Macaca fascicularis: one gene and its partner. The protein of the gene in region 2 interacts with the protein of the main gene of each other region in a pairwise test. Links are inferred from orthologs where the notes say so. Each region holds a gene or a part of one and is shown on either strand. Other genes may lie near its edges.

Region 1 (4,108 bases), on a different chromosome or scaffold from region 2:
GCTTCATGACTGTTGTCTCAGCATTTTGGAAGCTGAGGCAGGAGGATTACTTAAGCCTGAGAGTTTGAGGCTGCAGTGAGCTATGATCATGCCACTGCACTCCAGCCTGGGCAACTGAGCAAGACCTCGTCTCTAAACAACGAAAGAAAGAAAAGAAAGAACATCTGTAGCTGCCTTGGAGAACAGGGATTGTGTAGGGCTGGGATGGAGGGAACAAGAAGCACAAATAGGAAACTGAGGCAGCATCCAGGCTGAAGATAATTGGACCACTGTGGGGTGTAGGAAAACGGACAATTTGGAACTGTTTCAGAGACACTGAATCCACAGGATGAAATGCTGGTGATGAAGGGAAGAGAAGATCCTTAGGGTCTCCCAAGCTTCTGGTCTGTGCTCCTGGGCTGCCCTGACTGAGCCTGGGAGGCTGGTGGAGAGAGGCAAGAGCAATCAGCCGGGTGCCCTGTCCCTAAGCAGAGGGTAGAACGGGGGACTGGCGGGTGTTGTGTAAGTTTATTTTTTCTTTTTCTTCGTTTTGTTTGTTTTTTTAAGACGAAGTCTCACTCTTGTCACCCAGGCTGAAGTGCAGTGGTGCGATCTCGGCTCACTGCAACCTCTACCTCTCGGGTTCAAGTGATTCTCCTGCCTCAGCCTCCGGAGTAGCTGGGGTTACAGGCAGCTGCCACCACGCCCGGCTAATTTTTGTATTTTTAGTAGAGACAGGGTTTCACCATGTTGGCCAGGCTGGTCTCGGACTCCTAACCTCAAGCAATCGAGTTCGATCTCCAAAACAGAACTGTCATATGTCCTATGAGGGGATGACCTCCTGTGCAAGGGGCCGGATCCCGGGGCTGCCCTAGGCCGGCTGCAGACTTGCTGTGTGGCCTCCAAACAAGACCTTGCCCTCTCTGAGCCTCAGATTTTCCACTTGTAAAATAAAGACCAATAACGTTGCGGTTACAGGCTTGTGGGGGGTCATCAAATGAGCCCTGCCTGGGCGATGAATAAACGTTGGTCGCTCCTTACCCTTTACCACTGACTCTCAGGGGGAAAGAGTGGCGCCTGTCTCTTTAAATTATGCAAATAGCTGCGGGTGGCGTAAAGGGGGGGACTACTAAAAAGAGCCTGGTCTTAGGCTGGACCAATCAGCGCGCTGGGCTGGCGGAGACGGCCGTCTAAATGGCCCAATGGGGGACTGCGCGGGATCAGAGCCCGCCCTGCCTCCTGGCGCCGTCGCGGGGGTGGGGACTTTGTAGGCCACGCCCAGGGGGCGGAGCCAGTCGGCAGCCGCGCCGCAGCCGCGGAGGGAGGGGCGGGGCGGGCTCGGGTGTCAGCGACCGAGCCGCAGGTGGCGGCGAGCGCGGGGCTCGGCCGGAGCTCAGGAGGTGAGTGTTGCCCCCCGGAACCCCCTGGGACACCCTGGCCCGCGCAGCCTCCCACGCGCACCGTGCCCTGCAGCCCCGGCTGCTGCGGAGGGCAAAGGCGCGGCGGGACGCGAGGGATGGAGAGCAGGGGTTGGGGGCTAAGCGGTGGGCGCCCCGGCTTCTTCCCCAAGTGGTAATCGGGGGTCCGCAGGCGGAAACGGGGACCGCTCCCCAAATCCACCGTCTCCTGGCCTAGAACCGAGCGTGCACGGGGGCGGTGACGACGCGAGACCCCTCCCCAAATCCTTTTATTCTAAGCCTAGGTCTGGGTTCTGGGGCTGCAAAGATGGGGGTGCCGCTCCCCTTCCAGCCTGGAACCCTGGGCGGTGGCCGAGATGGGGACCACCCGCAAATTCCCTCTTCCCAGCTCCGGCCTGCAGACCACCGGGGACCGAGGATGAGGTACCCGCTTCCCTTTTCCTCCACTGTGAACCCCTCTCCAGGCCTGATGGCTGGAGGAGCTGGAGGGTCACCTGGCCCCTCCTCTAATCTGCCCCATCCCAGTCCCCCACCTCAAGGATGGGGTGGGAGGCGTTTCACTGGCATCTTCTGTGCGGACCCCAAGGTTGGAATTTTGGGGAGGAGGTCAGTGTGGGGTCCCCTGCCTGGCACGGTTTATCCAGGCCAGGCCTTGAAGGGCCTGGAGCCTGGACTTGGGGGGGTCCCTCTCTTACTGAGGGGCGGGGTGTACAGCTAGCATCTGTTCCTGGGGATTAAAATAAATCGAGGTAAATTAGGATCTTGCCAGAGGCTGGCTGTGAGTGGGGTGCGGAGGAGGTTTGGGTGGTGGGGGGCCCCTCCATCTGCCTTGGATCCCCCGAGTCACCTGCCCCAGCCGCAGTGGGGACCAGGAGGCAGAGTCGAATGGACCTGCTTCACTGGTGACCTTGGGCAGGTGACAGCGCCTTCCCAAACCTCGGTTTCCTCTTTTGAAAATTGAGGTTGGGAGCTTCGGACCCTGCATTTTACAGATTCTGAACTCACCCAGCCCACATTTTGTCTGATGGTGATTCACTCTTTTGCTTAACATGTGGGTGGTTTGGGGTCAAGAGAGTATTGGGTTTGGAGACCCTCCCACAGTGCCTTGCTATCCTCTGAGCCTCAGTTTACTGCACTGCAAAATAGGTTGATGATGACACTCTGATATTGGGGCTGGGGGCATGGGGGCAGGGAGTAAAACATAGGACCAAGCTGCAATCATTGGGACGGGGCATCACCACCCTGGTCTCACCAGTGGGGCCACCTAGGGCACACCCTGACCCACATACCATCACCCACACCAGGGGCGAACCTGTTCTTGGGCGAGGTCCTGGGCAGGAGGAGGTGGGAGTTGCCAGGCCAGCTCATGCCCTGTCCCTTGGAGCCCCCTCCCAGTGGTGGGCACAGGGCTGGGAGTCTGACACCCCCAGGTTTGAATTTGCCCCTACCTGTGTGTGTTTTCACTTGCTCCCTTGGTTTGTTCTTCTGTGAAATGGGCTGAATTCCTCTGGGAGGATGAGAGGAGTCTGTGGGAGGAGGAAGCTCTGTAAATACAGACATGATCATTATGATATTAATGACAGCATTAGTGCTCTTTAAATCGGGTCACAGCTGACCAGGAGGAGGGAGGGGAAGGGGGAGTCTACCAAGGGCATTGCCGAAGGAGACTCTAGCACCTGGGAAAGTTAGGCATACAGTAGGCATTCGATAGATGTTTGCCAAATGAAGTGAGGAAGAGGGAGGAGACCCATGGGGAGAACAGAAAATTCCTGAGAATCCCTGGCTCAGATCCCCACTTGGTGGCCTGAGTGTGTGACCTGGGGCACGTGCCTCAGTTTCCCCATCGTGGTGCTGGTCGAGATAAGACCCTGCCTTGAGGTGCGGTGGTGAGAATCAAGCCAGATTGTATAAGTGATCGCAGCCCAGGTGGCTAAGCCAAGAGGGGAGACATGACATAGTGGGTCATGGAAACAGCATGGTACCTGCCTGAACCAAGTGACCGGTCCGTGGGAAGGATGAGGAAACCGCTGCTACTGGCCCTACTGTACATTCACTGGGGTCCGAGAGAGAGAGGGAAATGGCAGATCCTGCTTCCCAGGATCCTGGAAGCCAGATCCTGCTTCCCAGGATCCTGGAAGCCAGATCCTGGAAGGTCAGGAGTGGCCCAAGGTCACCAGGCAAGACGTCAGTGGCTCTGGACACCCAGCCAGGCACCACTCAATTCCCAGAATGGGAGCTCGGGTCTTGCCTTTGTTGCTGATGTGGTTCCTGCTTTGTTTTAACTGTTCTGGGGCTGCTTACATGTCTCAGCCCCAGGTTTGCAAGACTTGGTGCCGGGAAGGCAGGATGGGGACCTCTGAGTCAGCTGGCAGTGTGCTGTGTGACCTTGGGCAAGTCTCTGGCTGTCTCTGGGCTTTGTGCTGGCGCTGTACAGGCTGGGAGACTTGGGTTCTAGCAGGACTGACTTCTCCATCAGACCCAACAAGCCCGATGTCTCAGGCTCACAGTGCTTTTAGGGGTCCGTAGGTTGATGTTTTCACTTCTTTTAAAATCCGAAGGGAAAAAAAATGAACTTTTGGGTTGAAGGAAACATTTTTGTGTGTAATATTAATATATTCATGTTTATGCCAATGTAATTGGCAAATATAGTTTTGTTTTGTTTTCAAGACAGAGTCTCTCTCTGTCGCCCAGGCTAGAGTGCAGTGGCTCGA
Region 2 (4,239 bases):
TACGACCAAGTCAGGGCGGAGCGGCTACCTTCCGGCAGGGCGCGGCCAGCCGCAGGCCGTGGGACAGGCTCTGGGCCCTGTGGTAGTTCACAAGCTCGGACAGGCTGGGGAAGGACACCGCCTCGTTCAGGTGCAGCTGGCCCCCGGCTCGCCACCAGATCTTGTAGTGCCGCACAGCCTGCGCGTCCCGCACTGGGAGGGAAAGCGTGAGCGGTGTCACCACCCCGCTCCAACGCCTCCCTGCGCGTCCCCAGCCCTGCTGGCCACACCTGCTCAGAGCTTCTGGGTCCCCATAGTTGCTGTTGGTGCTTCCTCAGTACCCACCCCTGCGTCCCCTCCCTTGAAACAGCTCCCTCCTGCCCTGCCTGCTCTGGCCAAGCTCCCTGGCCCCTCCTGCCTCCGTGCCAGGCAGCCCATGGCCTCTGCCTGGATGGCAGCTGCCTGAAATCCCAGCCACACTGAGATCCTCAGGGGCAGGAATGGGGTTTCTTCGCGCCTCGTGCACCCCGGACTCAGGGTCTCATGCTGGACCAGGTTCCCACAGGTGCCAGGACCTCCCATGAGTGCCTCAGGCAGGGCTGGCCGGAGAAGCCCCTGCCCTCCCAGGGAGGGGCCCTGCCCCACGACTGCCCCAGGCCCCAGGGAGGATCGGGCCAGGTGGGCGGAGGGGATGGGGGCTCCCTGGAGAGGAGCCCATGTCCCCAGTCACAGCCCGAGGGAGCCAGTTCACCACGTGGATGGGAGGGCTTAGAGCAAGGAGCCCCCGCAGGCTCGGAGGCTGGCCGCACCCGACAGGACGTAGTTGGCGCCTGGCTTCTCGCTGACCCTGATCAGGAAGGTGCCGGCGGCGTTACCCTCCGCCTGCAGCCGACGCACAGCTTCTGAGCGGGAGATGCAGCCGAAGAACCACCTACAGGGGAGGAGTAGTCTGAGCCCGCGCAGACCTGGGCCCACCCCACGTGGACCCCCCGCGGGCCCCAGTCTGCCCACCTGGAACCACAGCCACCCTTGCCTGCCACCTCAAGCTCCCAGCCCTGACCACAGCTGCTATTGGGAGCTGTCGCTGACCCAGACGCCCTGAATGTCCCAAATGGCCAGGACAGGCCCCTGAGGACCCAGCGGGGGGAGGGGCAGGCTTGACCACACCCTGCCCTGAGAGGCCCGTGTCTAAGGGTCAGAGCCTAGGGTGGAGTTGGGGAGGGCACCTGAGCAGTAGGGCTGCCCAGAGCTGCCTGCACACACACCCACGTGTGACACGTACACACATGCACTCACACAGTTGCATACCCCCACACATGCGCATGGTTCACCCGCACACCTGAACACACACACACACATGCATGCGGGCTACCCCCACACAGGCACACAGTTCACCTGCACACCGAACACACACACACGCATGTGGGCTCACTTGCCCACAGTCACACACACACACAGTCACTCACACACACTAACTCCCGGCTGCAGGGTGTGGGCCAGCCCTGGACTGTGGACTTCCAGGTGGAGCTCACAGAAGCTCCAGGTGACCTGTGCCCAGCCCTTTGTGTCTCTGACTCCCTCGGGCCACTGGAACACGGACCCCACATGAAGACCACCGCCCAGCATGGAACCCCTGGGGTCTACCCCCTCCGCTTCTGCACAGCTGGGAGCACTGCCCCACTCACCCCTCCAATCACCTGGCCTCCTTCCCACTCCTCACCTGGGCGAGTTCTCCGGGCCTCAGGGTCTTTGCATCTGGGAGCTGACCAGCCTCTGGCCAGACCCTATCCCTGCACCCCTGCTCCCTAACGAGGTGGTGGGTCTGAATGTGACACAGGGGTCTCCACCATGGGCCCCTGCCCAATGGCCTCTTTACAGCCTCCCCTGCTTGTTGCTTGGGTCCCCCAGGAATTAACCCTACACAGCCCGTGATTCATGCACGCACACAGTAGGTACCCAATCAATGATGAGAAAAGCGGGATCTCAGGAGTGTGAGTCGTAGAAACCCCTCCCCCAGACCCTCCCCAGCCTGAGCTCCGAGCAGCCATGGAAGCCGAGGCCGGACCACACCAGCTGGTCTGGTTCCTCGCAGGGCACAACAGGCAGGAAGCTTGCCTGGCAGCCCGCCCTCTCCCCTACCTAGCTCGTGTGTCTGGTTCTGGCAGTTTGGAAACTGAGCAAGCTTCGTTCCCCCAAAGGCCCTGGAACGCCCCAACAGACCTTGTCACTGGCCACTGGACCCCTAGAAGTCCACCCTGGACCTCTGTCCTCCCTGGGTCCTGGCAGAGCAGTGTCCACCACCGAGCTGTGACAAGGATGAGCCCAAGGGAGGGGCCATGCCCTCTGAGCCCCCTGCTCCAACTCCTGTAGCGACAGTCCTGTGGGCACTCCCAGGTGCCAGCACATGGGACCTGGAGCGAGGACCAAGCGGGATGCCCAGCCTGGACTTCGGGGTACAGGAAGATGGAGCCGGGGTCCCACCTTCCTGGGCCTCCCTGGGGCCAGCCCAGAGCCCTGTCCCTCCCTTGTGCCTAGAGGGTGGCCTGCGCCAAAGCTCCCAGGAGTTCAGGACACGCACGGTTCCGACTCCACGGTCTCCCTCTCGGCCAGGTAGCTGTGGGGCACATAGCCCTGGGCCACGGCCCCACCCGCCTCGTCCAGCAGCGTGGCCCACCACCACTGCTCCTCCTTCCTGGCCACGTGGAAGACGTCCCCCGCTCGGAAGCTCAGCTCCTCGTCCGTCCGGGCCTTGAAGTCCCAGAGGCCCACATACTTGGGGCCCAGGTGAGCCTGGTCCCGGGACACCATGGCTGGCGCAGTGGCAGGACCAGGCTGTGGCCCAGCTGGAGCACCTAGGGCTGGGCGTGGCAGGCGGGCGGTCCCACTTCCTCGTGACAGGCAGGGAAGCAGCCACCCCAGCACCCACAGGCTCTCGAGAGCACCCCAGCTCCTCCTGAGGGCCCAGCCGGCCCCACGAGTCCTCACGCCCCCTGGGGCCCATCTGGGCACTTAGTGCCCCCACCACGGGAACCTGCTGGGCAAGCAGCCACAGGGAGGGAGGGAGGAGTACTCCCCAGCTGGGGCTTCTCGGGGGTCCAACCTGTGGACACTCAGGCACTCAGGGAACCCAAGAGCCCCCTTGGGAATGAGCCTTGCAGCCTGAGGGCAGGACGGTGAGGGCTGCAGGTGCTGCCTCCCAACCCTCAGAGCTATGGGGGCACAGGTGGGGGCTTCTCTCCCCACTTCTGGAAGCTTCTCCTCCACCCGTTGGTGCCTCCCCTCACCCAGCCCCAGACTCCACCCCTGAGCACGGGGCCCAATGCCAGGAGCTGCTGTGGGCGGGCATCCTGAGAGCCACCTCGTGGGCAGGCCCGCCCTCGGGTAAGGGCCAAGCGGGGAAGAGGGATTGGAGTCAGGACGGTGACAGCTGTGTGGGTCGGCCGGGAGGACTTCCCAGAAGAGGAGGGCCCGAGGGTTTTGGGGATCCCTGGGGGGGCAGGGCCAGGGGCACCCGCAGCTGAAGAAACGGGCATTGCCTTCCTCCACACGGACGCCAGGGGGCAGGGAAGGACCGTGAGTGTGGCCTGGAGGCGCCCACAGCGCTGGGGCCCGGGGCGCAGCTCCCTCCCAGGCAGCTCCTCCAGCCTCCAGCCTCTGCCGCCTCCTGCCCAGCCCCATGACCCTTGCTCCCTTCCAGCTCACCTCCCCTCTCCCCACCCATGCCTGAGTGAGCCCTGGCGTGACCCCCACCTGCACCCAAAGGCCGCCTGTCCCCCAGCCCCTGAGACTCAAGACACCCCTCCCCAGGAGCCCCTGCCCGCCCCACCCTCCCGCTGACCCTCCTGTGTCCACCAGGGGCTCCAACGCAGGGGCCTGGATCGGCAGCCTCAGGGGGCAGGAAGGGGTGAGGAGGGAAATTCAAAGTCTGCAAGGAATGGCAGGGAAAGTCCTAAACTCTGCGTATTTGAACTTTTATTTTTATTGCAAAGAGAAATAATGGAACCTTCCGCTCATTGTTTGGAGATTAAGAACAATAATTATTTAACAGGTTCATAGATTTCTGAGCAGCCCAGCTCAGGGCTGACCAAGGTAGGGAGGGGCAGCGGGGTGCTGGGCTGGGCAGTGTCCCTCAGGCCCTGCCAGCTCTGCCGGGGGTCGGTCGGGAGAGATGCAGGGGGAGGGGTGGAGGTGGGGCATGCCAGAGGAGGGCGCTGGGGCATCTGCCCAGGCAGCGTCCCTCAGAGCCCACCAGCTCTGCCA

The links. The genes of interacting proteins can lie anywhere in the genome.
Region 1: the proteins of PTK6 (region 2) and FCHO1 interact in binary tests that used the Homo sapiens proteins (3 or more experiments, as listed by UniProt). The two-hybrid records come from large-scale screens. The link is inferred for Macaca fascicularis from reciprocal best matches to the Homo sapiens genes PTK6 and FCHO1.

What each region holds. Positions count from the first base shown.
Region 1 is NC_088393.1:18,087,799-18,091,906, forward strand, and holds the start of FCHO1 (F-BAR domain only protein 1), read left to right. Parts: upstream 1-1,308; 5' UTR 1,309-1,379; intron 1,380-1,679; exon of another isoform or gene 1,680-1,820; intron 1,821-4,108. UniProt on the Homo sapiens protein: Functions in an early step of clathrin-mediated endocytosis. Has both a membrane binding/bending activity and the ability to recruit proteins essential to the formation of functional clathrin-coated pits.
Region 2 is NC_088384.1:119,666,204-119,670,442, forward strand, and holds the start of PTK6 (protein-tyrosine kinase 6), read right to left. Parts: upstream 2,801-4,239; 5' UTR 2,788-2,800; coding exon 2,558-2,787; intron 911-2,557; coding exon 789-910; intron 193-788; coding exon 29-192; coding exon of another isoform or gene 1-28. UniProt on the Homo sapiens protein: Non-receptor tyrosine-protein kinase implicated in the regulation of a variety of signaling pathways that control the differentiation and maintenance of normal epithelia, as well as tumor growth.